Linked DNA regions of Lonchura striata. The protein of the gene in region 4 interacts with the protein of the main gene of each other region in a pairwise test. Links are inferred from orthologs where the notes say so. Each region holds a gene or a part of one and is shown on either strand. Other genes may lie near its edges. The genes, in order: GFAP, MEOX1, SF3B4 and CWF19L2.

Region 1 (8,190 bases), on a different chromosome or scaffold from region 4:
ATTTGGTGTCCAGGCTGGTTTCTGGGGGACATGGGCAGGACAAGGCAGTGACACCCTGCCCCGGGTATGGCCCTTCCAGCCACACTCACGAGAAGAAGCCCAAAGAAAATTAATTGGGCTGGAAACCCCTGAACATGAGAGACAGCAGCCCTGGGGACACAACCAACCTCAGGGACAGGGCTGGCTCAGGGACATGGTTGGCCTTGGGGATGTGGCAGGCTGCAGGATCTGATGTGTCCTGGGGACACAGTTGGGCTGTGGGGGCACTGGGGACATTTCTCACCTTGGAGATGTTGTGGACCATGGGGACATGGGTGGCTTTGGGATGTGATTGAGCCTGGGGACAGGGTTGTCCTTGGGGCCACAGTTGTCACTGAGGAACACAGCTGGCCTTAGGGATGTAGTTGTCATTGAGGACACGATGATGTGATCAGTACTGGGGACATCATCGGCCTTGGGGACATGTTCAGCCTTGGGGATATGGTCATGGCACCCTCCTCCCCCTACCCTGGGAGCACCAAGAGATTCCCTGGCATTCAGAGAAAAACTTCCTGATCCCTCTGAATAGGGCAGAGATGGCTAAGGTGGCTTCTCCTGCCACAGAGCCCCCAGAAGCCACCCCAGTTTGTGCCACCATCCCACTGCCCCTTCCCACGCGTGGGGCACAGCCTCACCTCGGATCTGCAGGTTGGAGAAGCTCTGCACAGGGATGGCGATCCTGCAGGGGCAATGGGAGCATTGGGAAGAGCACCAGGTCCTGCTGCCCCCCCGCTCCACCTGCCTGGGGCTCTGGCAGCAGGGCTGGAGGATGGTCCCCAACCCAGCTGGACACCCCAGAGGGACCATGAGGACTTGGGCTTGGTTAGGGGCATGGCTGGGTTGGGGTGAGGGGCAGGATGGAGCTGTCACCTGCTCTCCTCGCCCTCCAGCAGCTTGCGGTATGTGGCGATCTCAATGTCGAGGGCCAGCTTGACGTTGAGCAGGTCCTGGTAGTCCTGCAGGTGCTGGGCCATCTCCTCCTTGAGGCTGTGGATGTCCTCCTCCAGCCGCCCCACCGTGTCCTGGTAGCTGGCCGTCTCCAGGGCGTAGCGCTCCTCCAGCTCCCGCAGCTGCCTCTGCAGGGACTCATTCTGGGGGGCCACGGGGGCTGTGACTCCCTCCATGGCACCTTCTCCAGGAGCTGGGGGCTCTCCCCAGCGTCCATCTGTCTCCCACCCTTGGGGACCAGCCATTCCCCTGGCTGTGGGGGTGGTCCTAGCAGGGAACCCCTGGTGCTGGCAGCTCCCTGAGGCCGTGTCCCTGCTCTTGCACCCCCCGGCTGTCACCTACCGAGGCCCGCAGAGCCTCCAGGTCGCAGGTGAGGTTCTGCAGCTGGCGCCGGTACTCGTTGGCCTTCTGCTTGGCCACCCTCAAGGCCTCGGCGTGCCGGGCGGCCGCGTCCGTCAGATCTGCGAACTGGGACAGGGGACGTGTGCCGTGGCATGGGACCCCAGGGCAGGGCTGTGTTCTGGTGGCACACGGCGTGGGAACACGACCCTGCTCTGCTCCACAGCAGGGACACGGCCCCAGGAGCACATGGGGACAGCAGAGACCCCAAACCCCGCACACCACCAACCCCGGCCCCGAGATGGTGACACCTTGGGAGGGGACAGCCAGGCCATCCATCTGTGGGGCAGCCAGCTCCCACTGCACCTTGGACTTGTACCACTCCTCGGTCTCCTGGACGTTGCTGGCGGCCATGGCCTCGTACTGGCTGCGGATGTGGCGCAGGGCGGCCGTCAGGTCCGGCTTGCTCGCGTCCACCTCGACGTGCACCCGCTGCCGGGCCAGCTGCTCCTGCAGCTCCCGCAGCTCCTGTGGGGACAGGGGGGTCAGGGCAGCCCCTGAGCCCCAGACCCCCAGGCCCAGAGCGGGGTTACCTCCTCGTGGACCTTGTGGAGGAAGGTGATCTCATCCTGCAGGGTCCCCACACGCCTCTCCAGGTCCAGGCGAGCCAAGGCAGCGTTATCCACATCCTGTCATTGTGAGGGGACAGGAGGGACTGTCCCAGCTGGCCACCTGGGTCTCTATCCTGAGCTGCCTGGTCATGTCCATTCCCTCCCACTCCCACCCAGCCCCGCCTCTCTCTGCCCATCACAGCATTTCCCAGTCCCTCACTGCTTGCTCCTGCCATTCCTGCCCATCCATGTTCCATATCTGTCCATCCCTGCCCTTCCCATTCATCCCTGCTCCATTCCTGCTCCCTACCTGCTCATTGTAACACATACGAGTCCCTCAGTTCCTGCTCCTCCCCATCCCTTCCTGTCTCTGCTACATCCCTGTCCATCCCTGCCCATTCCCAGAGCAGGCCAAGCCAGGATCTGGCCCCTGCCCTTACCTGCCTGTAGGCAGCCAGGTTGCTCTCAGCCTCCAGCCTCAGGGTCACCTCATCCTGCAGCCTGTGCCAGAGCAGAGGCACAGTGACACGTCCAGCACCGTGGCTGGTCACTCTCAGCCCACAGACAGACCCCCCTGGCCCGACAGCCCTACAGCACCAGCACCCCTCCAAACCCAGGTCAGCTCTTGTGCCCACCCCACACACCCCCACACAAACCCCACACTGTTCCCAGGGGTCACCCATATCCCATCACAGTCCAGGTGCACACCAGTCCCTGGTCCCCAGGGCCACCTCGCTCCTGTCTCAGGGGCCACTCTGACCCCTGAGTACACCCTGGACTCCATTCTGGTCCCAGGGATCACCCTGGTCCCTGTCACCACCGTGGTTCCCATCACCAGGAACATCCTGATCACCATCCTGGTGTCCATCCTGGTCCCCGCTGCCACTTTGGTTCCAGTGGCCACCCTGGTCCTGGTGGTCACCCTGACACCCATCCCAAGTGGGCCACCCTGCTCCCCAGGGCTACCCCGAGCTGGACAGCGCCTTACTTCTGCTGGAGGCTGCCGAGGTCCTGGGCCAGGTTGTCCCTCTCCGTCTCCAGCCGGGCCTTGGCGGTGGCCAAGCGCTCCACGCGGCGCCGCAGCTCCCGCAGCTCCTCCTGGCAGATGTCGGCCACGCGCGAGGGCTCCCGGCCCCGCTCCTGGCTCAGCTCCAGCCGCAGCGCCCGGTTCTGCTGCTCCAGCAGCCGCACCTTCTCGATGTAGCTGGCGAAGCGGTCGTTGAGCTCCATCATCTCCACCCTCTCGTTGGTGCGCGTCTCCCTGAACTCCGAGTTGAGCGCCGTGGCCAGCGAGAAGTCCATCCCGGGCGAGCCCAGGCGGGGCCCCGGGCGGGCTCCCAGCTGCGGGCTGCGGGGCGCCCGGAGCCGGCCCGGGGCTCTGCCGGGGAGCGCCCGGGACGCGGGCACGGAGGGGCCGTGCGAGGGCGGGCGCCGGCTCTCCATGCCGGGCGGCTGGGCGCGATGTGCCCGCGGAGGGTTTTTATGGAGCCCGGAGCCCCGTCCTGCCCGCTGCCCCCGGCCGGGAGCCAGCGGCCGGCACGGCGCCAGGCTGTGGCGCCCGGCGGGGTGGCTGTGCCCTGGCACCCGGCCCGGGCACCGCGGCACAGCCCCTGCCCACCGCTGCCCCCGCTCCGGGCACTGCAGGGCTCGGGGAACGCGCCACGGTGGGGACAGAGCGGGGTGGGAGCTGGTGCCAGGCTGGCTGCGATCCGTGGGGCACTGGGGGTGCTGCTAATGAAGACCAGGTGTTAATTAGGTGGCTGGAGCCTCCTAAATCCCTCCCATCCCAAGGGTCTGTGGAAGCAGTGGCTGGTGGCCCTGGAGCCGCAGTCCCCGTCCCGAGTGGCCCCGGGTCCCCGTGGGAAGGCGCTGGTCCCGCACAGCTGAGTGTGCGTGGCCGTGTCACTGCCAGTGCGCTGGTCTGGGGGCTTTGCCCCTGGGGGCGCAGGGCAGGGGCTGCCAGGGGCTTTCCGCAGCGGCTGAAAGGGGCTTTGTGCGGAGCCGGAGCCGGGCACAGCCGGGAGGAGCCTTTGTGCCAGGGCACGGCGCTGCCGGGAAGCGCGGGGGGCTGATCCAGGCGGGCACGGCGCCAGCGCCAGCCCCGTCCCTCCCTGGCACGGAGGAATGGGCACAAACTGGGGCACGGAGGGGTCCTGGGCACGGCCCAGGGAGGGGATGGGGGCGTTCTGGGGACATGGGGACAGGAGCCACACGTGGTGGCACAAGGGTGGGTGCCCCGAGAAGCAGCCAGGGTGAAGACAGGAGTGTCCCTGGGACTCTGCTGCAGGGACAGGGACAGGGACAGGGACAGGGACTGGGGGACAGGGATTGCGGATAGGGACAGGGGCAGGGACCGGCCCCGTCGCTGGCAGTAGATGGCAGCCGATGGCCGGGAAAGGCTCTTGCCTGCCGGGGGAACACTCGGCTGGACCACGGCCACCATCACTGGGCCACCAACAGTGGCCATTGGGGAGAGCTGTGGCTACGGCTGCGTCCCTGTGGGTGCAGCCCTGGGAGAGCCAGAGCCAGCAGGGACCATACTGGTGAGACTGGTGGGACTGGCACAGCTCCCACATCCTTCTTTAACCCCCAGAAGCTCCCTGCCTCCAGCCAGCCCCGTGTTCTCCCGGCTGTCCTGTGCTGGTGTCAGCAGGGATTGTGCCCACAGGAATTCCAGGTTTGGAGCTCCTACACATCCCCCAGTGACTCTTGTGTCACCGCCACAACAGCGGCATCCCTGGAGACACGTGCTGTGCGGCAGCTCTGGTGACAGGACACCTCCCTCCCGGTGCACAGCGGGGTGCAGGGGGACAGAGCGGGGGCTGCGGAGCTTTGGGGTCCTTGGGGGACAGAGCGGGGGCTGCGGAGCTTTGGGGTCCTGTGTGGGCACCCGCTGCTCCCCAGGGATTGATTCTCTCCCGGCTCCCACGCAGCGCGATCAAAGCACGGGAAGCGGCCACTGCCGGCAGCGGCGGGAGGCAGAGCTGGGCTCCCCCTCCTCCTCCTCCTCCTCCTCCTCTTCCCTGGCCCCCCTAAGGAGACAAAGGAACTGGCAGCGGGCTGGCAGTTTTAATTGGAAGCTTCCAGGCTGAAGGAGACAGAGGCGAGATCAGCAGCTGCCGGGCAGGGAAGGAGCCGGGAGGAGCCGGGAGGAGCCGGGAGGAGCCGGGAGGAGCCGGGAGGAGCCGGTGACCCCGGCCCCGTGGGACAGCAGCGCCCGGGGCTGCCCCGGCCCCGCTCTGCCCCTCCCGGTCACACCGAGGGCGGCTGCGAGGAGCTGCTGCAGGGAACCAGATGTGACAGTGCCAGATGTGCCCTGGCACGGCAGGAAAGGGGATCACAGGGTGGTGGGAGCACCGGACCCTGCGTTGGGTGCTTGGGGGTCTCTGTCCCGGGGTGGGGCTGTCGCACGGGTGGCAGTGATGGGGCAGAGCAGAAATACAGAACAAAACCTTTCCCATCACTACACAGTGTCAGGTCCCAGGAGGGCAGGCGGCTCCCCCACCCCTCACCTGCACTCTGGGACACTGGGCAGGGTGCCCAGACCTCCCCCAGCTCAGAAGAGGGTGCGGAGGCCCCCACAGGACCCTGGGATGATGGAGATGGGGGGAAGCCACAACGGAGCCCAACCCCAGAGCAAGAGCCTTTTTCAGGCCAGCTCAGCTGGGAGCTGCTCCTGAATCCTGGCTCCCCGTGTCCTGTGGGAGCTGTGGGAGGCAAAAGGGCTGCAGAATAACTGGGGAAGCCGTGGGTGTCAGGTTGTGTTTTGGGGAGGCTGTGGGAGCCTGAAGGGGGTTCAGGCTCACGGGGGGCTCTAAGGGGGAACTGCCTGGGGGTGGCACAGGGAGGCAGTGGGAAGCAGAGCCCAGAGAGAGTCTCTGAGACCTCTCCCAGCCTGGAGATCTCTCTCCCCCACTGCATCCTCCCGCTGAACCAACCCTCCCCCCAAGGAGTGCATGAGCACCCCAGACCATTGGACCTGGAGCTGTGTCCTCCAGCAGCTCTGCGGGAATGGGGAGACACAAGAGCAACCCCAAAACACAGCCTGAAACTGTTCTGTGCCCGCACCAGTGCTGAGAGCACCCTGGGGACACGGGGTGGGGAGGTCTCAGGAGCCTCCTGGCTCCTGGCTGGCAGCAGAGGTGGCCTCGAGCTGCCCGGGGCCCGCAGAGCTGCCCGGGGCTGCTCGGCCTCGGGGTGCCCGGCTGCCCTGCCCAGGTGCTGATCCGGCCCCTGCCCGTTCTCCCCCAGCCCACGACACCAGAGCAGCTCCTGGACATGTTGGCCAAAGGCAATAAAAACCGAGCACAGCGTCCCACCAAGGCCAACGCCTCCTCCTCCCGCTCCCACGCCATCTTCCAGGTGAGGGCTGCCGGCTCTGGGGCAGGAAACACACCTGCACACCTGGGCCAGCACCAACGTCCCCGGGCTGTCCCCTCGGCCCGAGCTGGCAGTGCTGCTCCCCAGGGGCTCTGTTCATGTGCTCTCTGCTGTCTGGGTGCAAAGCTGCCAGTGGATTTCAGCTCCAGCCAGGCCCTTGCCCAAATTCTCAGGGCTGTCAGGGCTGCCTGGGCAGGTGCAGGCTCTGGCTGTCACTTCAGCCTGGCCCCTGGCTGCTCTCGGGGGAGCAGCCCAGGTGTCTGCAGGATTTTCCAGCCAGCTCCCAGCTGGGCTCGTTGGTGGGTCCTGGATTCCTGCCTGCACGAATCCCTGAGCTGTGCTGGAAATGTGCCCTTCCTGCTGCCAGCTCTGCCTCCCAACAAGCAAACCACGGGCTGCAGAGATACAGGAGCAGTCCTCAGCTTCCAGCACCTCTGGCCCTGCAGGGGTTGCTCCTGGGGGGGATAGGGGAGATTACAGGGCAGTGGGGGAAGCATGTGGGGTTCTAGTGGGACATTTTTAGGGATTCAGAGGGGAAGGCATGGAGCAATGCTGCCTGATGAGTCTTGGTGGCTGTGCTCCCCTGGCCTGCACCAGCCCTGGCTTGGCACCCACAGCCCTGGCTGGTGCCTGCTGGCACCAGGCTCTGTCTGGGGCTGAGTTTGGTGGCAAAGTCCCGAGGGAGAGTCAGGCCTGGAGCTGCCTCTGTGTGTGAGCCCCTCCTGGCTCATGCTGGGGCTTTGGGTGGGTTTGTTGCCCGTTAAGGACCCAACCAGCTGTGCCCTGCTTCATCCCTGAATGTGGGAGACACAGATTGTTTTCCATAGCTCCATCCCTTCCTGCCTCCCTCCCTGACTTTGCTTCTCATGTCCTCACCAGGTGTTTGGTTCGCTATCATCTACACTGTTCAAGTTCCAGAGCATCGCTGGGACCCACAGTGCCCTCCCAGACAGCAGCAGTTCCCTTGGGATTGCTGAAATCCTCAAGTCACATCCTCAAACAAAGGAGATGAGCCTGGAGGGCACATCCTGCTCCCTGCTGAAACCCTGCAGAGATGCCACCACCTTTGAGGGATGTGTAAGATAACCCTGTCAGGCACAAATACTGACTCCCAGCTCTGTGCTGAATTGGATGAGTTAAAAACACCTCAAAAGCAGAGGCGGTTCTGAAGAAAATTGCCAGAATAATTTGGGGAAAAAAAATTATTTTCCCTTCAAAAGGTCAAAACCAAACATTGAAACCAAAATATATGAAAATGGTCCTCACATTGGAAATTTCCTGCATGAGGGCGACCCAAGGTGTCCGAGTGTCCTGTGGGGGAGCTGCTATGACTTGGCCACTTTCCTGAACACCTGAGAGCTCCAGCGGGACAGGTGGATGAGGAAGAAGATGCCGATGATGATGGCAAAGCTGATGCCCACGGCCCTCATGACGAAGACTGACTCGGGGTCGGTGGGGCTGCGCTGGCGCCGGGGCTGGAAGGTGACACTGAGCTGGAAGCCGGCCACCAGCTCGCCCTCCCGCCAGCAGAAGTAGGTGGCTTTGTCCCTCCTGCGCAGCCGCTGGAGGTGCAGGTGGTTCCCGTGGTCGATGAAGAGCCTCATGTGCTTCCGGACCCCCAGCAGGTAGTGGGAGCGGTAGAGGCGCACGGAGCCCTTGTCCCAGGCCACGGCGTGCTCCGGCCGCGCTCCCGGGCACGTGAGGACCAGGTCGCTTTTGGGGGGCTGGCTGTGGTACTGCATGGGGACGCGGGGCAGCTCGGGCTTCTCGCCCAGCTTGTAAATGATGTTGGAGATGGACTGCACGCCCTCCTCGGGGACTCGCTTCTCCGGGCAAGGGGCCAGGCAGCTCCGGACGGCCACCTCGGGGCTCC
Region 2 (8,264 bases), on a different chromosome or scaffold from region 4:
CGGGAATGCACAAGGGAGCAGTGTGGCACACGCTGCAGCTGGGCTGCTTTCCACTCCAGGGAATTAGTTTGGTTTGTTCCATGCTGCTTCTGCTACTTCAGAAACCCACAAAAAAAGATGGGGAATGTACAGGAACAAAACTTCACAAGTTTCTGCCCATGTTTTTGCCCTCAGTTGAACAATCCCCTTTGTACTGCACAGACACACTATCACATTTCACAAGTGTGACTTGGGAGGGAGCAGGGGGAAGCAGGATTTGAAGTGTGCATCTCTTGCTGGGACCTTTGCCACCAGCTCCTGGGAGCCTTGAGCCCAAAGCCTCCCCTGGGGCTTCTGCTGCCCTCAGGGACACGTGGAGGGTGCAGCAGCTCTCCAAGCCTTCAGCACAGGGCAGAAACTAAAAACAAGCAGCCAGTGCAAAGTACATGGGACAGATTCCCTTTCCAAGGGGCGGTCCACCAGTCTGCATCCCCAAAAGACAGTGGGAATAATTTAAAATGGATATTTGGGTATTTCTGGGGCAGAGTAGGGTGTGTAGCTAGGAATCTCTCAAGGACACTGCGTGCCACAGGGTATTGTCAAGAGAAATAATCCTTGTCCATGGTTGGGGTTCTGTGAGATTCCAGAAGTGGAAACGTGGCCCAGCTGCTTCAGTTTTGACAACAGAATGTGAGAAATGACAAACGTGTGAAAGGACAAAATCATCTTGGACAGGTTTTTTCTACTGTACAGCCAGTTTAAAAAGAAGAAAGGGGAAAGGGGAAAGGGGAAAGGGGAAAGGGGAAAGGGGAAAGGGGAAAGGGGAAAGGGGAAAGGGGAAAGGGGAAAGGGGAAAGGGGAAAGGGGAAAGGGGAAAGGGGAAAGGGGAAAGGGGAAAGGGGAAAGGGGAAAGGGGAAAGGGGAAAGGGGAAAGGGGAAAGGGGAAAGGGGAAAGGGGAAAGGGGAAAGGAAAGGAAAGGAAAGGAAAGGAAAGGAAAGGAAAGGAAAGGAAAGGAAAGGAAAGGAAAGGAAAGGAAAGGAAAGGAAAGGAAAGGAAAGGAGCCAGAGGCAGATGTGTGCCTTTCCCAAGGAGTGTGTCTCCTTCCAGGATCCCAACCAGTTCCATGCTGGGTGGAATTTAGCAGCTGCCCCTCCCCAGGGCTGCAGTGGTCACTGGAAGGTGGAAGCCCAGACCTCTCAGGGATGTCATTGCTTACAGCTCCCTGAAAGGAAGAGAGTAGGGAACAGCAGCAAGTATGAAAAGGAAGTGTGAAGAGTGCTAGTAAGAGAAAATAAAGGAATGTTTTTCTTCCACTTAAAAGAGGGTATCAGTCTCTTTAAGGATAAAGATATCCCTCTAATGTGAGTAAGCTGAAATCTGCTGTTTACCTATGATTAGCTGATGTTTTAATGAAAGCGTTGTTCACCTTTTAAATTGCTATTTTATTTAAACTTCTTTGTATTTGGGAAAATTTTGCCTAAACATGCTTTTTTTAGTATAAATGAGCTTAAATTCTACAAATGTCTGCAAAAGCTAGAAACCAATCAATTAATATTTTTATCCCTGCATTCTCTGCCTGTGAAATTAGGCTACTGGAAAATATTCTCCACTTGTTGGCAGGACTGTGGGGAAAAGCACACTGTAGCTTGTATGTGAATACTGTGGCATTTGAATGCATAAGAGCATCTTAAATTGTAACAACTTCCTAAGAAAAAACAATTTTATGCATATTTCACTGATTTGGATCTGAGTTATCAGCAACTTAGAGTTTGTATAATTACAAAATTATTGATTTTTACAGTGTAAAAAGAATTCTTTGCTAGCTAGGATGACACAATGAAAACCATGTACATTTTCTGCATTGTTGGACATTTTACTGATGGGCAAAGTTTTTGAACCTTCTGCTCTGAGGTTAAAATATTTGACATTTAGTGAGACCAAACAGAATTTATATTTAAAGGAAGACTTTGCCTCTTGTACTTCTTACCATAAACTGAGATGTCAAATTCCTAATATGACATTCCCTATTAGCACAGGCAGCTCAAGATGAGGGATCTTTGCTCTCTGCCATTCTCTTTTGCTCAGACAAATGGCAGGTGTGACTGGATAACTCCACACCCTAGAATTCAGCTCTGTGTGCACATGCCATGTGACTCCTGCTCAGTTACAGCAAATGTGCATTGTGCTGGAGAGTAAAATGTTCAGTACCCAAGATGTGCAGGAGTGAAATACAAAGACCAGAAAAAGAAGAGTAAGAGTAAGAGTAATTAAGAGTAAGAGTAAGAGTAAGAGTAATTAAGGGTAAGGATAAGGGTAAGGATAAGGGTAAGAGTAAGAATAAGAGTAAGAATAAGAGTAAGAATAAGAGTAAGAATAAGAGTAAGAATAAGAGTAAGAATAAGAGTAAGAATAAGAGTAAGAATAAGAGTAAGAATAAGAGTAAGAATAAGAGTAAGAATAAGAGTAAGAATAAGAATAAGAATAAGACAATAACAGTTCTGTTACCATCTAAAGTTTCCCCAGTCAAATACTATGGAATGTTTTGCTCAGCAGCTTTCTTTCTTAAGTCCCAGTCTCACCAGGTGTTCTCATTCCATCTCCTGCAGTCTACCACAACCCTGATTTCATATCACCTACCTGCGCTTTCCTTTTTCCTTCGGGATGGCTTTTTCTCAGAGTCACTTGTAGGGTTCGCCGCTGCCTCATCTTCCTCCAGAGGCACAGGCAGCCTCAGCAGGCTGGGGCTGCTGCCCTGTGCCTCGCCAGCAGCCAGGGCCAGTCCCGCGCTGTCTCCTGCTGCCAGGTGCCACTCGGGGCAGTGGAACGAGGGGCGCTGCTCCTGGGGGAAGCTGTGCGGAGCTGTCACCAGGCAGGAGGCTGAGAAGTCGGGGTAAGCGGCGCAGAGTGCTTTCTGCTGGAAGGAGAAGGGCGCCGCGGGGCCGCGGCCGAGCCCCGGCGCTGCGCTGGGCGCGGGGCGCTGCGCGCTGCGCAGGCAGCCGCTGCTGCCGGGCTCCATCCGCGCCGCTGCCGGCCTCGGCTCCCGCCTGCTCCGCTCAGCCTCCAGAGGCACGGGGGAAGCGCAGGGAAACTCTCCCGAGTTTCACAGGTCGCCTCCCTAAACAACAGTCTGCGCGTGGCTTTGGTGCTGCTGCGGGTTTGCTGCTTTAGCAACTCTGGCTCTAAAGGTCTTCATTGCCCTGGCTGGGGGAGCAGAATTACGCCATGAGCTGCTCCCTGGTGAAGTGCTGGGCACGAGGGAAACACTTTTTAAATACTGTGCCGGGGAGACGGTGGCAAGTTTGTGAAGTGAAATGTGAGCGAAGGGAGGGAGGGGTTAACACACATACCCTCAGCCCCTCCAACCAAAGCAAAGCAGGCAGCTATTAATCATCTGAAACCTTATATGCACATCTAATGGGATTTGCAGATGGAGCCTTTTAAAGAAACAATGTCTGTAGTTTTTTTTTTTTTCGAGGGAAAGAGCAGCACACACAAAAAAAAGTCTTTAATGTTTCCTTGTAACACTATGAAGTTATTTTTATTGCACTGTTAACAAAATTCTCCGTCTTGGGTTTAGAAAAAGCCCTAAAACAGGATTCAATAGACACCAAATTTCAAGAACTAAAGTGGGAAATAGAAGTAAGAAAGGACTTCACTAATTATATATAATTTAAAGCCCAATCCTAAGGTTAAAAAAAAATATTAAACCTGGCTTGTACACACATGCAAGGCTTTGAGTAATATTTGTTTGTTTTGTTAGATTTGTAACACATATATTTGCCGAGGGTTGGAGTCTGCTGCCAGTGGCAATTATTCTTTCTGTATTCTACTTTCTAGGGAATTTTCAATTCACCCTCCTGCAAGGAAATGTCCTGATTTTATGCCAATGAAAGACATGTTTTTCATCTTTTGTTGAACATTTTATAGTTTTTCCTAACAGAAAGCAGAGTTTTTTTAGGCCCTAGAGCCATCCCAGCTGAAAAGACATTAACAGGGAATCTGTTCTCAATCCCCTTTTCCCAGAAGTGTGGCAGCTGAGGATGTCCCAAACGCTGCTATGCCAGGGTTATTAATATTTTTAATGACAATTAAGGTAGGCATGTGTTCCATGTTTCCAGAAATCTGCTTGCAACCATTTCAAATACTCCCCTGGCCTTGCTCCACGTTGTGTGTGCCTCTGTCCCTTCTCCCACCACTGCTGCTGGGTTTTGTGCTGTCTCAGGGGCACAGGGATTTAACAGACATGAGGTCTTCATTTTTCACAAGAGCTGAAGTGATACTGAAGTTATTTTGGTTTTTTTATCGTTCAGAACTGTAAAATTCAATGGAATCTGGGTGAGGTGGGGAATGTGTTTATGCTGTTATATCTGTTGGTTTTTAGAACTTGGCCTTTTTCCAGGAAATCAAATTATTTTCGTTTAGATCCTTCTGAACAGGAACATCAAATTCCTTTCTCTCACAGGAATCTAAATTTTCATGCAAAATTCTCAATATCTGAGAGCTAATTAATTCTCTAGAAAGAACTCACCTAAACACTTAAATCTGTTGCTCTGCTGCATTAAATAGTAAACATTTAAAAGCATTTCATATTCACAGGCAGGAGGAAGACCCTCAGACTCCTTTTCTGAAAGATTTTGAGGAATTTGTGAATGCTGCACATATTTCAGGCACTGTCAGAATCCAAGTCAGAGTCCAGAAGGTTTTGCCCATGCAGAATATTTAATTTATATTCTCTATGTGTGTGTGTGTGTTGACATATGTATAACACTTCACTTACATGTGTCACTCAGAATTTGCATGAATTCACATGTTTTGCAGTTCTGCCTTCAGTCTACAAAAAGATCTCTCTAATTAGCAAACATTTGTCCTTGCAGGTGTGAAAAATGCATATTTTATGATTAGCTTTCCACAAATGTTACAATAAATATTATATGTGTAATGTTAAAAAGTTATGCTGTATTAATTCTCTTGCGTAGTATGTTAAATGTAGTTTTAGGTTACAACATAATGTTAAAATAGAAACTCTACAATACAGGATTTGTTACAAGATCAAGCAAGAAGATGAAATAATCAAGAAACTCTTCACACAGAGATGTAGCGAAGGGGGCCCATAAAAAATTACAGCCTCCTTATCAGAAAAGACAAACATTCTTCTGCCTTCTCTCTGTCTTTCTAGAACCAACAAGATTAAGGAGAAGAAGTTGACAAAACCAAAAAAAGTTCTTAATTTGCAAAGAATTTATGCATCATGTATGAGATATATGAATATACAACAGGCTATTGCTTTTAAAGTTATTCCTTTGTTCACAAAGCACACTTCTAGTGTCCGAGAGCATCCAGACATCTGTAATTCTTTGCTTTTTATTGTCTTGTAATTGTCCTAACTCTAAACTTTATTACTGTGATTATATTGTTATTTTTATAACCATTTTATTATTATTAAAATTAAAAAAACCCAACTGATTGGCATTTTTCACACAGGGACAGAAGAAAGGAGGATTGTCCCTTAGTTCCAAACCCACTTGGGTCAGGATCAGATCCCCAGCAGGGATTCCCACATCGTCTCCCTCCAGGTGAGACCACTCGGGTGTTGGGGAATGGTTGTTAGAACAAGGCCATGATTCTATGGAATACCTGTTCCAAAAAACCTCTGTCTAAGGCCCCAGAATCAGGCTTTTGTGGAACTTGGGATACACAGCTTGGAAACCAGTCTCTGTTTCTGGGAAATTGCATAGTGGTACAAGGTCTGGGAACGGGATAATAAGAACAGGCATAGCCTCAAAGATATGCTCTGTCCTTGGAAGGCATGGCTCAGAGATGACAAACTTGGCTTGGAGAGAGAACTTAGCTACATCTGTAACCGCACGCAGGAGAAATAAAACAAAGCCCTTTGTAAATGAAGCGGTCAGAGCTTACCGCTGCCCATGCCTGTAGAATACCCCATACAAGCTAAGGTATCTTTGAATAAAGCCGGAGCTTGCTTCTCAGTCCTATTGCTTAGCGTTTGTCTTCCCCCCCGCCCTCATCGCCGGGACAGCTCTCGCCGTCGCTGCTGCATCCCAGATGTGGGAGCAGCAGATCCCCGGTGCCCCCTGCGCTGGGAGCCCGCGGGGCTCCGCGGCCGCGCAGCTGCCGCCGCCACTCGGCGCCGCGGCGGGGGCCGGGGCCGCGGCATCTTCCCACGGCTCCTGCGGGGACACAGCGGGAGCCCGCCTGCCGAGCCCCGTTTGGTGCCTTTAACCTCCGCAGGGTCAACAACCTCCGCAGGGTCAACAACCTCCGCCAAATCAACCACCTCCGCAAAATCAACAACCTCCGCAAAGTCAACAGCCCTGCGGCCCGCCGCTGGGAAATGCATGGGGAGGATGGCACGCATGGGGAGGTGGGGCTGGTGAGGAGCGCTCCCGTAGGGAGGCAGGGAATTTTCCTTGAGCTTTTCCTCTGTGCATTTATCCTTCAGCTTTTCGTCTGTGCATTTATCCTTGAGCTTTTTCTCTGTGCATTTTTCCTGGAGCTGTTCCTCTCTTTCTTTATCCTTCAGCTTTTCCTCTGTGCATTTATCCTTAACCTTTTCTCTGTGCATTTATCCTGGACCTGTTAACTCTCTTCCTTTATCCTTGAGCTTTTCCTCTGTCCATTTATCCTTGAGCTTTTCTCTATCCATTTATCCTGGAGCTTTTTCTCTGTGCATTTATCCTTCACCTTTTCATCTGTCCATTTATCCTTCAGCTTTTTCTCTGTCCATTTATCCTTGAGCTTTGCCTCTGTGCATTTATCCTGGAGCTTTTTCTCTGCGCATTTATCATTCAGCTTTTCCTCTTTCCCTTTATCCTTGAGCTTCTCCTCTGTGCATTTATCCTTGAGCTTTTCCTCTGTCCATTTATCCTTCAGCTTTTTCTCTATCCATTTATCCTTCAGCTTTTTCTCTATCCATTTATCCTTGAGCTTTTTCTCTGTCCATTTATCCTTGAGCTTTCTCTCTGTGGGATTTCCCCAGCTAAGGAGCAGCCCCAGAAGCTGACCCTTCTTCTGCCCTCTGCACACCCAGCAGAGGTTTTTTTCCAGAGAAGGAGTGACAAGGGCAGCCACAGCAGCACTTGTGAAAAACATGTTCACTTTCTTGGGAAAATTTAAAAGTTTAATAAACTTTTTAATAGGAGATTAAGGACACAATAAGAGATAAGGATTATAGAGTAAAGGTTGTTATGGCCAGGTGCATCTTTGCACTCAGGCAAGAGCACACTGTTACTTTTGGGGATATCCCTTAAATACCTTTTGGTTTTAGTGTATTCTTATTTCCTCCAGTTTTTGGGCTTTGGTCTGCACTCTCTTCAGACGGTGAGTGCTGGTGGTTGGCAGATCTGTATCAGGTGTCTTTTTCATATATTCATTGGATGTTATCCCATCCAAGCAGGCATTTTAACACAAGCATACTTACATCAGCTATTTCACTCAGTTTAATTAACAACAGAAATAAAAACTATATTTTTAGAACAAAGTTACTTTAACACTACACATGGAAAATATATTTTAACATATGCAAAAAGCCAATATTATAATATGTATCTTTAACAGAGAGAAGGGGGCTGCAGCAGCTGTGAGAGCTGAGGAGGAAAGGCCAGGCCCAGAGATGGGCTCTGTGTATCTATCACTCATTTGAACAGTTTTCTCAGCCTGTCTGGAAGAATAAAAGAATAGCAGAAGTGTAATATTGGTGAGAATTTGAGACTTTCTGTGCTGCCAGGCACTGACCCCCAGGAGAGCACTGCACTGACCTGAGGCTGTGGAGAAGCTTCCAAAAGGGAATGATAAAATTGGAATTGTGGGTGTGGAGTTTGAATAGAAGTGTGTAATATCACACGGTGGAAGAGTTTAAAGTTTTATAAATATATAATAATAGTTATACATATATATATATAATGTACAATTATATATAATTGTATAATTATATATATAGTAATGTATAAAAAGCAAGATGGCGATTTTAGAGTGGAGGCTGGTTCTTCTTCACCTTCTTCTCCACCTTCTTCTCCATGGGTTTGGGTGGTTTTGTGTAATTGGATAAAAAGTCCACATTGCAGCCATGGGTGGTTGGTTATTAGGTTGAAAGTAAAAATAATTGAGGTGTCATTTCTTAATTAGACAGTTTATCCTTAAAAGGCCTTGCAGAGAGAGAGACAGGGCTCCATTTTTACTTTGTTAAAGTGTTGTAGATGTCACCATCTGTGAGACTGTAACAGAGATGAGAACTAACAAACATCTGAGTCCAAACAAGAAATAACAT
Region 3 (7,206 bases), on a different chromosome or scaffold from region 4:
GGAAGTGGGAGGAAAGGAGAGGTGGAGGGAAGACAAAAAGAGGAGATCCTGATCCATGTCCCCTCCCAGCTCCTCCCTGTCCCCTCCCAGCTCCTCCTGGACCCTCCCAGCTCCTCCCGGTCTCCTCCCAGCTCCTCCCGGTCCCATTCCACCTCCTCCCGGTCCCTTCCAGCTTCTCCCGGTCCCTCCCAGCCCCTCCCAGCCCCGTACCTGGGTGGTGCATCCCTCCCGGAGGGAAGGGGTGCGGGTGAGGGGGGTGTCCCCCGGCGGGGGCGGCTCCCGAGGGCGGTCCCGGGGCTCCGGCGCCCGGGGGCATCGGCGGCGGGGGCATGGCCGGGGGCATCCCCGGGGGCAGCGCTCCCGGCGGCGGCACCGGCGGAGGGAAGGAGCCGGGGGGAGGCAGGCCTGGCACAGAGGGAAATCACAGAATTCACTGAATTATCAGAGATGGAACTTCGAGATCATCAAATCCAAGCCAGCCCCAATGCCTCAGCTCAACCATGGCACTCAGTGGCATTTTTTAAACACCTCCAGGGATGGTGACTCCACCACCTCCCCAGGCAGCCACTCCAGAACTTTATCACTCTTTCTGTAAAAAATCTTTTCCTGATATCCAGCCTGTACTTCCCTTCAGGCAGATTGAGACCGTAACCTCTCGTTCTGTCAGTTGCTGAAGAAAAGAGACCAAGCCCACCTGACTCCAACCATTTTACAAGTTGTAAAGTGATGGGGTCACTCCCGAGTCTCCTTTTCTCCAGACTGAACATCCCCAACTCCCTCAGTTGTTCCTCACAGGGTTTGTGTTCCCAGCCCCTCTCCATACCATACAGGTGTGGGGCACACTGATGGAGAGTGAGCCAAGAGAAAAAAAAACCCAAAATTTGGGAAAGAGCCCTGCCCCATAAAGGTGCTGGAAAATGAGCCAGGAGGAAAAAATACCCTAAATTTGGGAAAGAGCCCTGCCTCATACAGGTGCTGGAAAGTGGGCCAGGAGGAAAAAAAAACCCTAAAATTTGGGAAAAAGCCCCACCCTATACAGGTGCTAGAAAATGGGCCAGTAGGGAAAAAACCCAAAATTTGGAAAAGAGCCCTGCCCCATAGATGTGCTGGAAAGTGAGCCAAGAGGGAAAAAATTCCTAAAAATCTGGGAAAAAGCCCCACCCCATACAGAGGCTGGAAAATGAGCCAGGAGGAAAAAAACCCATAAAAATGTGGGAAAGAGCCCTGCCTCATAAAGATGCTGGAAAATAGGCCAGGAGGAAAAAAAACCAAAAAATCGGGGAAAGAGCCCCACCCCATACACATGCTGGAAAATGGGCCAGGAGGAAAAAAAAACCCTAAAAATTTAGGAAAGAGGCGGGGATCGCGCGCCAGCACCTCGAGCCCCGCCCCGGGCAGCCGTGGCACCCACCTGGCGGGGTGACGCCGGGCCCCAGCGCGGTGACCACGGGCGCGGGCACCGAGGGCGGCGGCGGCGCGTCGGCGAAGAGCTGGTGGGGCCGGTCGGCCTGGGACAGGGGGTTCTGGGCCGCCAGCAGCCGCTCGGCCGCCGAGCCGTGCCGCTCGCCCTTGGAGTCCTTCTTGAAGGCGTAGGACACGGTGATGGGCCGGTTGCACAGGTACTGCCCGTTCATGGCCTCGATGGCGGCGTCGGAGGCGTCGAAGCTGGCGAAGTTGATGAAGGCGTAACCCTTGGAGTTGCCCGTGTCGGGGTCCCTCATGATCTTGGGGGTCTGCAGGATGACCCCGAAGGCGCTGAAGGTGTCGTAGAGGAGCTTCTCGTCGATCTCGGGGTCCAGGTTGCCGATGAAGATGTTGGCGCCCACGTCCAGGTTCTTGTTGTGGGCCGAGGCCTTGTTCACCCGGATGGGTTTGCCGTAGAGCTTGATCATGTTCATGATCTTGATGGCGTAGTCGGCGTCCTCCTCGCTCAGGAACTCCACGAAGCCGTAGCCTGGGGGATCCCAAAGGAGCTCAGGGGTGGGGCAAGACCCCTAAATGACTTCAGGGCACAAAGCCACTCCCCACACCCCGATTTAAAACTCCAGCTCGTTAAAAACCCCATGTAATTATCGACTGAAACCCCCTTGGTTTTATTGTATACCACCTCATACTCGATTCAATCCCCACTTCATGCAAACCAACACCTCCTGAGGGACAGAGGATGATCCCCCCCTCTCCCACACCACAATCCCACCCCCCTCGTTGCCGTTTTGGGGGTCCCTCACCCTGGTGCTGGCCCGTGACCCGGTCCTTGGGCATGTGCGTGTTGACCACCGGCCCGGCCTGCAGGAAGAGCTCCCAGAGCAGGGGCTCGCTGACCTTCTCGTCCAGGCCCCCCACGTACACCGTGGCATCTGCGAGGAACGGGGCTCAGCGCCGGGACCCCGCCACCCCCCGCGCTCAGAGTCACCCAAAACCCTCCCCTCAAAACCCTCCGGTCAAAACCCTCCGGCCAAAACCCTTCCCTCAAAACCCTCCCGTCAAAATCCTCCACTCAAAAGTCTCTATTCAAAATCCTCCCCTCAAAACCCCCCCATCAAAATCCTCCCCGCAAAACCCTCCGGTCAAAATCGTCCCCTCAAAACCCTCCGGTCAAGATCCTCCTCTCAAAACCTTCAGCCAAAACCCTTCCCTCAAAACCCTCCACTCAAAATCACTCCACTCAAAACCCTCCAGCCAAAACCCCCACAAACCCCAATCTCTCCTCGCCACCCTTAATCCAGGAGCCCCACAGCCTCTTTTTCCTTTGGGAAAAACCCCAGCCCACCGTGGCCTCGGAGCTCCGCCTGCTCCTCCCTCCGTATCCCCCCGCGGCCCAAAACCCCCTCCAGCGCTTCCAAGGACTCCCCACTCCCCACAGAGCCCTCGCCAGCACCCCGCACGGCCCCGGTGCACTCAGGCGTCCCCAGAGCGCTGCCCCGGTGCCCCCGGGCCGCTGCCGCCGCTCCCACCCTGGTTCCTCTCCGAGATCGGCCCCGCCGCCATCTTGCCCCGCTCCGCGCGCGCGGCGCCGCACGCACGCACGCACGCACGCCGCGCGTGACGTCAAGGCGCGAGCCCGGCGTTGGCGGGAAGCGCCGTCGTGAGGGGAAGGCGCGGCCGCCATCTTGGGTGCGGGCAGGGACCGCCGCGCTTCGTTCTGTCGCGACAGGACCCCTTCTGTCGCGACATGGCCTTTCTCTCCCGACACGGCCAGCAGTGCCCTCAGTGCCCCATGATCCCAGCGGCGCGGAGGTCCCAGGTGTGCGCTCCCGCAGCGTCCCCATCCCATCCCCATCGCTGAGCTCCCGGAGCCTCATGGAGGCAGCACAGATTTAATGGGGGACCGAGAGCCCGCAGCGCCCGTGCAGCAGCGGGGGCACCTCGGGAGCCGCCGCTCGCCCTTCCCGGCACCGCCGAGCAAGCGGAGGCGGCGGGAGCAGCTGGAGCAGCTCTCTGCTGAGAGCCCCCGAGCGGGGCTGGGCTGGCTCGGGTGCCCCCGGCTCTCAGTGCGGCCTCCGCAGGGTCCAGGTGTGGAGACGGTCCTGGAGCAGCTGCAGCTCCTCAGCCAGCCCGGCCAGCGATGGGGCCAAGCGCCCGCGCTGCAGAGAGAGCGGCCGGCACGGCGTGGGGACAAGGACACGGGGAGCAGGACATGGAGAGGTGCAGTGTTCATCATGGGACAGGGACACGAGGATGGGAACACGGGGCAGGATGTTCAGCACAGGATGGGAACATGGACGAGATGGGATGGATGGACATGGGGTCCATCTGTCCATCCATCATCCATCCATCCATCCATCATTCATCATCCATCCGTCCATCCATCCCTCCACCCCCATGGACACACAGACACCAGCTGCACACAAACTGGCTCCATCCTCCCCCCCAGCCAGACTGGGACCCCCCCCAAACCACCACCCCCAGTCTCCAGCCCTCCCCCGTGCCTCAGTTTCCCCAGTACCTGTTCCTGGGGCAGCCCCCTGAGGTAGCAGCGGTGCCAGAGGCGGACGCAGGGCCCGGCGGTGCAGGGCAGGAGCAGCCCCGGGGTGGGCTGGCAGGTCCCCAGGAGCCCCCCCTGTGTCCCCTGGCTGTCCGAGGGGGACCCCCGCAATGGGGGGCGCAGGGGGGGGCGGCTCCACCAGGGCAGGGGGTGAGGGCACAAGGAGCCCTTGGCCAGCGTCAGCACCAGGCTGGCACCCCGCCACGGGCAGGGGTCTGCGGGCTGGCAAAGGGGGAGCGGGGATTAGGGAAAATCAAAAAGGGGTGAAAGGAAAATGGGGGAGGAAAAGCGGGGTGAAAAAACAGGATTTGGAAATAAAAGGGGATGAAAGAAAGAGGAAACGGAGGGGATAAAAATAGGGATTAAGGGAAAAAGGGAAGCAAAGGAAGGGTGCAGCCCCCCCCAGGCCAGCCATACTCACCGTGCTGGGGGTCCGGGACTCAGCAGGGCCCGGGGGTCCCGCGGGGTTCTGGAACTGCTCCCGCTGCTGCCGGGTGTAGCGCCGGCCCCAGGCCCACACCGGGGGAAAGCTGCAGGGCTGGGGGCCTCCCCTGTGTCCCCCAGGGTCCTGCCAGCCCCCCATGGGTCGGTAGATCTGGCTGGGGAGCCGCGGCTGTGGGGGAAGTGGTTGGGAAGTCAGTCCCCTCTTTGGGATGGGGAAACTGAGGCACGGAGCCGGGGGGAAAAAAGGGGTAAAATGGGAGATCTGGGGGTGCCCGTCCCCAGTTTGGGAATGGGGATGGAGAAGGGGTGAGATGGGAGAGTTTGGGGGTGCAGCAATGCCCCTCACCGTGCCGCTGTGGCCCTGCTGGCGTTGGCAGCTGAAGCGGAAAGTGCTGAAGTAGGGGCTGAAGCTGCTGTCGTGGAGCGCCAGGAGAAAAGCCTCAGTGAAGCCAAAATCCGCCGGGAATTGCCACAGGAGCTGCCAGGTGCAGTCCAGGAACAGCAGGAACACGGGGGCCTGGGGGGGATTCGGGATTGGGGGGGGGGCTCACCCCTCACAGGCAGGTCCCAGCTCCTGTCACCCCACTGGGACAGCAATGGGGGTCTCACCTCCTCCCGAGGGCTGTCCCAGCTCCTGTCACCCCGTTGGGACAGCAATGGGGGTCTCACCTCCTCCCGAGGGCTGTCCCAGCTCCTGTCACCCCACTGGGACAGCAATGGGGGTCTCACCTCCTCCCGAGGGCTGTCCCAGCTCCTGTCACCCCGCTGGGACAGCAATGGGGGTCTCACCTCCTCCCGAGGGCTGTCCCAGCTCCTGTCACCCCGCTGGGGCAGCAATGGGGGTCTCACCTCCTCCCGAGGGCTGTCCCAGCTCCTGTCACCCCGCTGGGGCAGCAATGGGGGTCTCACCTCCTCCCGAGGGCTGTCCCAGCTCCTGTCACCCCGCTGGGGCAGCAATGGGGGTCTCACCTCCTCCCGAGGGCTGTCCCAGCTTCTGTCACCCCACTGGGACAGCAATGGGGGTCTCACCTCCTCCCGAGGGCTGTCCTGGCAGAGCAGCCCCAGCCGGCGTGGGAAGGGGTGCCCGGCTGCCACCCACTCCCGCTGCACCAGGCTCTGGAAGCCAGGCAGGGAGCGGGCGTGGGGGTCCCCCAGGAGCTGCACCAGAGAGGCCACCAGGCAGTTCAGGTCCCGGTCCGAGGGCTCTGGGGGGGCAATGTGGTGATGATGGGGGTCCCCTTTCCAGCCCCCTCCTGTCCTTTTCCAGCCCCACACCTTGCAGAACCACGGAGCAGCGCTTCCCTGCCAGCAGCGACGCCACCTCCACTGCTTTTCTCAGGCAGGAGCTGGGGGGCAAAAGCAGGGCTTCAGGGCACCCCAAAATGTCACTGTCACCCCTTTGGGTGGCTCATGCACCCACCACAATGCCCCCACTGCCCCACAGTGCCAGGTGGGCTGGGGGCGGACATTCCACCATGGGATTTATGGTGAATTTTCCCCAAAATACCACCCTACACCCCAAAGACCCCCTGCTCACCGGACGTGGTCCAACCAGCGTGTCCCCTCCAGGGCCGAGAGCCACTTCTCCTCTGCCACCGCGCCTGGATCCCACGGGAGGGAGTTTCAATGGGGGGTTCCCAGCTCCCCAGGGGGAGTTTGGGGGTCCTCGGGGTCCGCCCAGTGCCACTCACCAGGCAGGCAGAGCTCCCGCAGCCTCAGGTGGGCGAGCTGGATGTCGGCCAGCGTGGGCAGCTCGGCCGTGTCAGCCAACACGCAGGGCCCGCGGTCCCCCAGCAGCAGCGCCTCCAGGCACCTGGGGGGCACAGGGAGCCCCGGGTGGGGCCAGGTTGGGGGGCACAGGGAGCCCCGGGTGGGGACAGGTTGGGGGGCACAGGGAACCCCAAGAGGGGACAGGTTGGGGGGCACAGGGAACCCCAAGAGGGGCCTGGCCAGGGGCACCCTCAGCCCCCCACCCCGGGGCCCCCTGGCACCCACCTCACATCCTCGCTGCCTGGCTCCGAGGCCCGGTGAAAGCTGGCAGCTCTCAGCAGGTCCCCTCCACCCGGGTGGTGCCAGCACAGGCGCTGCAAAAAAATCGGGGTGACACCCCCACATCCCCTCCCAGTGCCCCCCACCCTGCCCAGGCACTCACAGGCACCCGTCGCTCCTGAAAGTGGCCAAAAGTTCGCTTGAGGTCGTGGTCCAGAAGCCCACTGGGCACCCAGAGGTACTGGGGGAGGCTGTGGGAAGGTGGGACACGGGTGGGGTCCCCCAAATCTCGGGTGCCATTTCCAGTGGCTCAGACAGTGCTGGGGACCCCCGGGGCTGTACCTCGGGGCCATGTCGAAGCGCTCATTGACGGCGCTCACCCTCCAGCCCGCAGCGCCCAGACGCTGCAGCTCCTTCTCCCAGTCCCGCAGGCTCTCGAAGAGCAGCACGGTGGACGAGCCTTCCTCCTCATCCTCCTCCTCCTCTTCTGGGGCGGCTCCTCCACGGCTGGAGCAGCCGTCGTGTGCCTCGGCAGCATCTCCGAGCCACGCAGCCGCCTCCCGTGCCTGTGCGATGGCGTTGGCCACCTGCGAGGGCAGCCAGGGCTGGGGTGTGAGGCGTGAGCCCCCCCCAGGCTTCCTCGGAGCCGCGGGTAGCCCAGAGTGAGGGTGCGACCCTCCTGCACCTCCCCGGCGTACCCGGAACGCCTGCGGAGCCAAGCCGCTCTCGGGGAAGTAGAAGTGGAGCAGGCGGAAATCCCGACAGAAGACGGTGAGTTCCTCGGGGAT
Region 4 (7,193 bases):
CAAACACAGCAATTCCACAAGCAAAAGCAAAGAAAAATATTTGATAAATGATGTATGTTTCTGTATTATCCCAATGCACCCAAGAGAATCTTTGAAAATCAGAGAATCTGACTTAGCTTTAGGCTGCCTGGAAGTGAAAACATAACAATGTGGAAATATAACACGGACTCTATACTGTGACTTTCAGTAAGAAGTTGAAAAGTCACATTGGGGAGGTTTCTCATCAGCCATATAGGGACCAAGCACTTCTAATGGTCAACATCTGTAGAAAACATCATTGTCTCCAGATCCATTCCTACACTCCACAAAAAATGAACTTGAAGAATCATAGTGGCTAGCATTTCACAAATTATACTCCATTCTGTTTCCCTATCTTTCCTTGTCTCAAAACCTCTAGAGTCCTTGGCCAGTCTGCACCATGATCATCTCTGCACCTTTCTTCCCACCGTGCCCAAGGTTCTTTGGCTCTTCTTGAGATGCTGGGACCAGGGCTGCATAAGCTATTTGACACAGAACTGGGTAACATGACCATGCAACCACTTCCTTTGCTCTTTATTCATCTCAGTGGTTCTAATACTTGATCAGCTTTTGTCTAAGCAATGACGTAGCATCTTTATAGAGCTATTTACTGCCCATCTGTTCGTTTTGAATGGTAAAAGCCAACTCTGAGCCCACTGCTGTACAAAGAAAATCAGTTTGTCTTACTCCAGAAAATTAGTGTTGTGCACTGGGTTTTCTCTAGTATCACACAAATACTGCAAATGCATTTTTAAGATATTCATGTAGGAGTAATTTGTATTCATGGCATTTTAAAAATATGCTGAACAATACAATGATGGTCTGTTTCTTGTTCAAGTCAAAGAAAATTACAAAATTCAACAAAGATCCTATATACACACCTTTTAATACACTACAGCTTAGCAATAATAAAAAATGCCAGATTTGGTTTAATTCTAAAAACTCCAAACCACTTTCTCTAATATTCTTCAGCAAGGCTGATGAACAGAATCTAAACCTACAAGAATTAACACCGAGAGTTAGGACCTAAGAAGCTGCAGCATCATCAAACAACTCTTGAGACATATCCTAACAGCGTACCCTGGTGCTGAAGTGCAGCAACTCTTTGAGACGTAGTGCAGTGAGAAGTGTAGCCCCCCTGCTCAAGATACCAAACTTTCTAGCAACTACTGGAACTGTGCCAAAACAACCTGTGCCTCAAGCAAAAAGGCCTTGAAGTGGTGCTGCCCCTGTGCACAATGAGAGACCTCTGGGTCTCTCATTGTGGGGCCAGCCAGGAGAGCACTGAGGCACTCGGAGCCACTGCAGGAGCCAAGGACTCAGCAGGATGAACCCAGACTATGGCACACTTAAGACTGCAAGGGTATAAAAGCTCAGAGATTTGGTTGTTCAGGACCCCTCCTTGGAGGCACCCAGCTCAAACTGACTTCGTGTTCTGCACCATGATTAAACTATTGTAAGGATTCAGATGTCTCTGACTCTTCCATGGAAAACCTGGGGTCAAGCTGGAAAGGGAAGCTTGTCTGAGTGTGAGTGTTGTGTATAGGGAACCAAGCAGAGCACACACTGGCTCACTGGAGCTGCTCTCCACAAAAGGCTCCAGTGCCAGCAGTGAGAGCCTCGTGTGGTGGGAGTGCATCCTGGGTTGGGGACTGTGCTTCCTGAATGATCAGCCAGGAGAGTTTCCTTAACCCTGCCACTGGAGTTTTTCAAGATATGACTGAACAGAGGACTAAATAATCTCACCTAGGCTGCCTTTCCCACAAGGGGTTGGACCAAGTGATCTTTCAAGGTCTTTCCAGCCAGGGCTGTTCTATGATTCTAAGCCAGTGGCATTGGCCCAGGCAACTTGCTGTACAAGGGGCACCAGCTGAGAAGGAAAGGTAAAGTAGGATAACAGTGCCCTACATAAGCTTTTCTTCTGTTAAGTGCATTTTCTGAACATCCAAGAGGTTGAACTGAGCAAAGGTGAAGTTTGAGTAAAGCAACAAACATCCTAACAACATCAACAAACTTTTGCAGGGCAGTGTGACTCGTTGTTACTAAGTTAATTTCCTTTCAACTGCTTGTCAAAAGGGGGGGAAATCGCTGAAGGGAACTTTTATTGCCAAGAAATGGTTCCATAAAGGAGATGCCCACATGATATATTACATAAAATCCTCTCTCTTTCTGCTTTGCCTTGAGAAAAGGCATCACTGCTCTGTCAGCATCAGGCTAATCAGGTCATTTGCCCACTACATTTTTTCTGACAATATCTTTGCCCAGAAAGATTTGACTGCTGCTTACCCTAGCCTTCCTTTTGTCAAAAGCCTATCATCACAACCTCATCCTCTTTCCACAGTATTTCTCTTACACTTCTCTTACACTTCCCTTAAACCCCAAAAACAAGCCATGTCACTTAAGTGATGTGCCATTTGTGACTTCAGCATTCACTCTACCTACAAGTGACAACCTGAATCATCACAAATACCAAAACCAGGCAGATTTTGAACAAAATGCACCAGGATTAGCATGGGTCTCCAAGTCACAGCATCTCTACCAAAGCACCTGAGAGTGGGAGCCTCCTAATTCTTGTCTTACAGTACAGTAACATATCACCAGGCACAAAACTGACCCTATGAAATCAGGCTCCCACTTCTTAACACATGCACACAACTTCAAGTTATTATCAGTCTATGACCAGAATGTTGCAATGGAGGGATACAGACTCTTTAGGAAAGATGGGCCATAAGACAAGGAGAAGTTATCGCCTTTTAAGTCTCATTTAAGGAAAGGCTGAGAGCTGGGTCTGTTCAGCCGGGGAGTGAGGGTGGTGCCATCTTATCAATGTATAAAAGATCTGAAGCGAGACGGTAAAGACTCCGGCTCTTTCCAAAAGTGTAAGCACAGAAATACATAATAAGTGAAATACCAAGAGGATCAATACCACAAGTGGCAAAACGCACGAAACCGGGTGGGTGCCACGCAGGAGTTCCAGACTGCGTCCCGCCACCGTCGGTGCCGCAGCCCAGCTGCCCTAGGCACAGAGGGGCTCTCCCTCGGCCTCCCCGCCTGCGGCCGCCGCGGCCAGGCCGCCTTCAGGAGCGCACCGACCCGCGCAGCACCCAGCGCCAAGCCCAGGGAACGGCGAGGTGCTGAGCAGCCCGGGCAAGGCCGGGCAAGGCCGGCGACCCCACCTGTGCCGGCAGCGCCGCCCGCTCCCGCCGCTCCCGGCCGCGCTCGCCCGCCGCCCCGGACGCCATCCGCCATCCGCACCGCCCGCCGGAAACCGCGCGGGCCGTACGGCAGCGCCGCCCGACACTGTCGTGAACAGCGCCCCGGGGGGGCGGGGTGGGGCGGCTGCGGCGGCGCCCGACTGCGGGGCACGGGGGACAGCGGGGATGGCCGGGATAGCGGGGACAGCGGGGATAGGGGGATAGCGGGGATAGCGGGGCACGGGGGACAGCGGGGATAGGGGGATAGCGGGGATAGCGGGGGATAGCGGGGATAGCGGGGCACGGGGGACAGCGGGGATGGCCGGGATAGCGGGGACAGCGGGGATAGGGGAATAGCGGGGATAGCGGGGCACGGGGGACAGCGGGGATGGCCGGGATAGCGGGGACAGCAGGGATAGGGGGATAGCGGGGATAGCGGGAACAGCGGGGATAGGGGGATAGCGGGGATAGCCGGGCACGGGGGAACAGCGGGGATAGCCGGGCACGGCGGGGACCTCCCGGAGCCGGGGTCTGGCACGGCTCGGCCCCTCAGCCCCTCTGTTCTCGCTCGGTTCATGGCAGGGTTATAGAGTCATGGAATGTCCTGAGCTGGAAGGGACCCACATGGATCATCAATGCCCAGCTCCTACGCAGGACCATCCCCAAGAACCACACCGTCTGATTCTTGTGAGAGCGTTGTCCAAATGCTTCTTGAACTCTGTCAGGCTTGGTGCTGTGACCACTTCCCTGGGGAGCCTGTTCCAGTGCCCAACCACCCTCTGGGTGAAGAACCTTTTCTCAGTATCCAACTTGAACTTCCCCTGGCTGAGCTGCACGCCTGTTTCCTCGGCTCTGTCACTGCTCACCATAGAGCAGAGATCAGTGCCTGCCGCTCCTCTTCCTCTCACAAGGAAGCTGCAGACCGTGATGAGGTCTCCCCTCAGTATCCTCCAGGCTGAACACACCAAGTGCCCTCAGTCGTTCCTCAAATGGCTCCTCCAGTCCCTTCACCATCTTCATTGCCCTCCTTTGGGCAGTCTCTAACAGCTTTGTGTCTGTTTTACATTGTGACACCCAGCACTGGAGGTGAGGCTGCCCCAGTGCAGAGCAGGACAATCCCCTCCCTTGCCCAGCTGGCCATGCTGTGCCTGATGCCCCCCAGGACAGGGTTGGCCCTCCTGGCTGCCAGGGCACTGCTGGCTCATGTTCAGCTTGCCACACACCAGAACCCCCAGGTCCCTTTCCATGGTGCTGCTTTCCAGCCTCAGTCTGTCCCAGTCTGTCTGCACATCCAGGGTTGCCCCATCCCACGCACCCAGGTGGGTTCCCCACACCTTGCTCAGAGCTCACCAGCATCACAGGTGGAAGTCCCAGCAAAGACCATGTCCTGGCACAGCAGCTTATTGGAACCCTGTGCTACCTGACCAACAGGACCACACAGTCCTGCAATGGGCATTAAGGAAACTTCCCTGTGCAGCCGCCCGGAAGCCTCTCCAGCAGTCACACTCACACCACCTGAGCTGCCCTGGCAGCTACACACCCCACAGTCAGACAAGGCTTCCTTACTGGCTCAACCCCAGGTTTCCCACAGCAAAGTCTCTGACGTCTCAATCCTTAAAATAGTTTAATCACAATACCACAACAAAATGACAACTTGAGCTGGGTGTCTTCAAGGAGGGACCCCAAGTGAAGAAATCTCAGGGCTCTTACACCCTCACAAGCACAGTCCAAGCAGAGCCATGTCTAGAACCCTTGGCTCCTTCCATGTCCCGGAGTGTCCAGGCACCTGGCTGGCACCACAAGTCCCTGTACCCTTTGGCAGTTTCAGAGTCTCTTGCCTCAGGCTCAGGCTTCTCCCCAGTACTCAGCCTGCAGCTGCACACTGAGCACTAAATGCAATCCTCAGCACTGGGGATACTGACATCCAGGCTCATCCCTCCTGCTGGGCTGAAATTCCCTTGCACAGACCCTAGCCTGCTTGTCCAGACTGGCATTAATGAGAGCAAACAAGGGAACGTGGCCTGAAAGATGCTCACAGGTTCAGGTGCTCTGCAGTGCCCAGTGCTCCCCATTGCTGTGAACACCTCCAGGTGATTTTCCAGACACTTTCTTACCTGTTTTCAGCCAGTTCAGTGCATCCATGTTAGACTGTGACCTCTGTAATGTCAGGGTGCTGGCTGCCCAGAATGTGCACGGGTGAGCAGAGGGAAATGCAAAAGCAGGTGTGTTCAACCATTTGGAAGTTGCAGCTGGTCAACACCATTTGACAGGGCTTCTTTGCCTCTGGTGAAACAAATGTTTATCTGGGACATAATTTCTTTGGGATGAGATCAGAGCATTATTAATGTGTCTGACACCAAACGTGTCCACAGCTGCCAAGTAATATTATTTAGGCCAAGGTCTGAGTGAAGATCTTGGGTAATTTGTTAGCTATTTGCATGGGACAGTATGTTTTTAAAGTGGTAACAGTAATTTAATCATCATCTCCATGGTGGTATTAAATGTGTAAATTAAATTTGCACAATTGTTCAATTTATGCTGACAGTTAACAGCATCTCAAGAAAAACCTGCTGTAGATCACCACAGGTATAGAATGATAACTGATAGACTTTCATAGGCACCATTTGGAAAAGCAGCATGTGAAACCTCTTCAGGGAGCCATTTACAGAGGAAACAGATGGATACAGAAGATGTTCCAGCAGGATTGACTAATGCTACTTCCAGTCCTTGGCTATATACAGCAAAGTACACTGCTTGAAAGAGGAGAAGCAAGAAAAGAGCATGTTTGCCCCATTAAGGAAAGCCTCTTCTCTGATTGTGATGTGCTCTTCTCACCAACAAATTGGTTTCTTTCCATCCCAGTGCTACCACTTGTTCCAGGCAGCCAGCAGAGTATCTCAAGTGGGTGCTCTCTAACTCGCTCAGCACACAGCCAGGCATATGGGCTTAATAGATTTGTATTAAATCTAAACAGAAAATTGATAGTCCATGAGCTGAGCCAACTACTTGTGACTGAATCAGTTTAGGAAGTATTTGAAAATGCGAACAGAAAGTCTGGAGACTGTGGCATAGTGTGAATAGTGACAGATGTGGACAATTTGGGAGTGAGAACAGGGAATGTATTTTCTACAGCAGAAAGTTACAGACAAAGAAGAGGATTCAAAGCACAGGGTGAGCTCTTGCATTGTTAGGTGCCATTCTTCAAACCTGTAACCCTCCATGTCATTAATAGGGTGGTTCTGTAAATTTTAATTTAAAATGATTTTCTAATACTCCTGGTTTTAGGAAAGAAACTATGACACAAATATGCTCTAGAATCTGAAGAACAGTAAAACCTAGAAAGTTATATCTGAGGGCTGCCTTTAATTTTGAAGTCAGTGGTTAGGGAAATGGTGGCATAATTTAATTTCATTTCCTCTCCTTTTTTTGAGAAAAGTATTTTCTTAAATGGAGCAGGTAAAAACTAAAGTTTACCCTTATTTCTTTGAAGATATTGGTATGTCTGAGAGCTCTTCACATGCTCAGAAATCTTCAGTGAGCCTAGAGAGATACTTCTTGGTATACCACTTTTAATGGTCAGCTGGGCACCTCTGCTCAGTTGTCTAATTCTCTGTGCCAAAATCAAAAGGCTAACAAAACAGTAATACCCTGGATATACTGATTTTTATGAACTTCAGGGAGGAACTGACCTTTCCTAGTGAAGTATTATTTTCCATTTAATGGCACATTTTACACTTTTTCTGAAAGAAATTGGTCACTCTCCAACTGATGTGTGTTATAAACCTCCATGCTTTTAACTTTCACTACGTGCTTTAACTCTCAGCTTGTTTTATTTTTATTTCAAAAAGGTTAAAAAAAAATCCTCTCTACTCAGTGTGATACTGTGCAGTTTTCTTTAAACTAGATGCAAGGTTTCACTAGGGAAAAGAGTTGTTTTTTGTTTTTTCCTGAGAAAACAAAATCTTTTCCCACTGTGATGCT

What was found.
Region 1: the proteins of CWF19L2 (region 4) and GFAP interact in binary tests that used the Homo sapiens proteins (3 or more experiments, as listed by UniProt). The link is inferred for Lonchura striata from reciprocal best matches to the Homo sapiens genes CWF19L2 and GFAP.
Region 2: the proteins of CWF19L2 (region 4) and MEOX1 interact in binary tests that used the Homo sapiens proteins (3 or more experiments, as listed by UniProt). The two-hybrid records come from large-scale screens. The link is inferred for Lonchura striata from reciprocal best matches to the Homo sapiens genes CWF19L2 and MEOX1.
Region 3: the proteins of CWF19L2 (region 4) and SF3B4 interact in binary tests that used the Homo sapiens proteins (3 or more experiments, as listed by UniProt). The two-hybrid records come from large-scale screens. The link is inferred for Lonchura striata from reciprocal best matches to the Homo sapiens genes CWF19L2 and SF3B4.

The regions. Positions count from the first base shown.
Region 1 is NC_134627.1:2,883,107-2,891,296, reverse strand, and holds the start of GFAP (glial fibrillary acidic protein), read right to left. Parts: upstream 3,299-8,190; 5' UTR 3,240-3,298; coding exon 2,926-3,239; intron 2,439-2,925; coding exon 2,378-2,438; intron 2,016-2,377; coding exon 1,920-2,015; intron 1,855-1,919; coding exon 1,693-1,854; intron 1,456-1,692; coding exon 1,330-1,455; intron 1,131-1,329; coding exon 910-1,130; intron 719-909; coding exon 675-718; intron 22-674; coding exon 1-21. Other genes in the region: Ig-like V-type domain-containing protein FAM187A, read right to left, coding at 7,643-8,190.
Region 2 is NC_134627.1:5,975,508-5,983,771, reverse strand, and holds the start of MEOX1 (homeobox protein MOX-1), read right to left. Parts: upstream 3,012-8,264; 5' UTR 2,997-3,011; coding exon 2,618-2,996; intron 1-2,617. UniProt on the Homo sapiens protein: Mesodermal transcription factor that plays a key role in somitogenesis and is specifically required for sclerotome development. Required for maintenance of the sclerotome polarity and formation of the cranio-cervical joints.
Region 3 is NC_134635.1:2,714,941-2,722,146, forward strand, and holds the start of SF3B4 (splicing factor 3B subunit 4), read right to left. Parts: upstream 3,004-7,206; 5' UTR 2,989-3,003; coding exon 2,955-2,988; intron 2,358-2,954; coding exon 2,229-2,357; intron 1,955-2,228; coding exon 1,412-1,954; intron 406-1,411; coding exon 211-405; intron 1-210. UniProt on the Homo sapiens protein: Component of the 17S U2 SnRNP complex of the spliceosome, a large ribonucleoprotein complex that removes introns from transcribed pre-mRNAs.
Region 4 is NC_134604.1:44,165,827-44,173,019, forward strand, and holds the start of CWF19L2 (CWF19-like protein 2), read right to left. Parts: upstream 3,270-7,193; 5' UTR 3,261-3,269; coding exon 3,195-3,260; intron 1-3,194.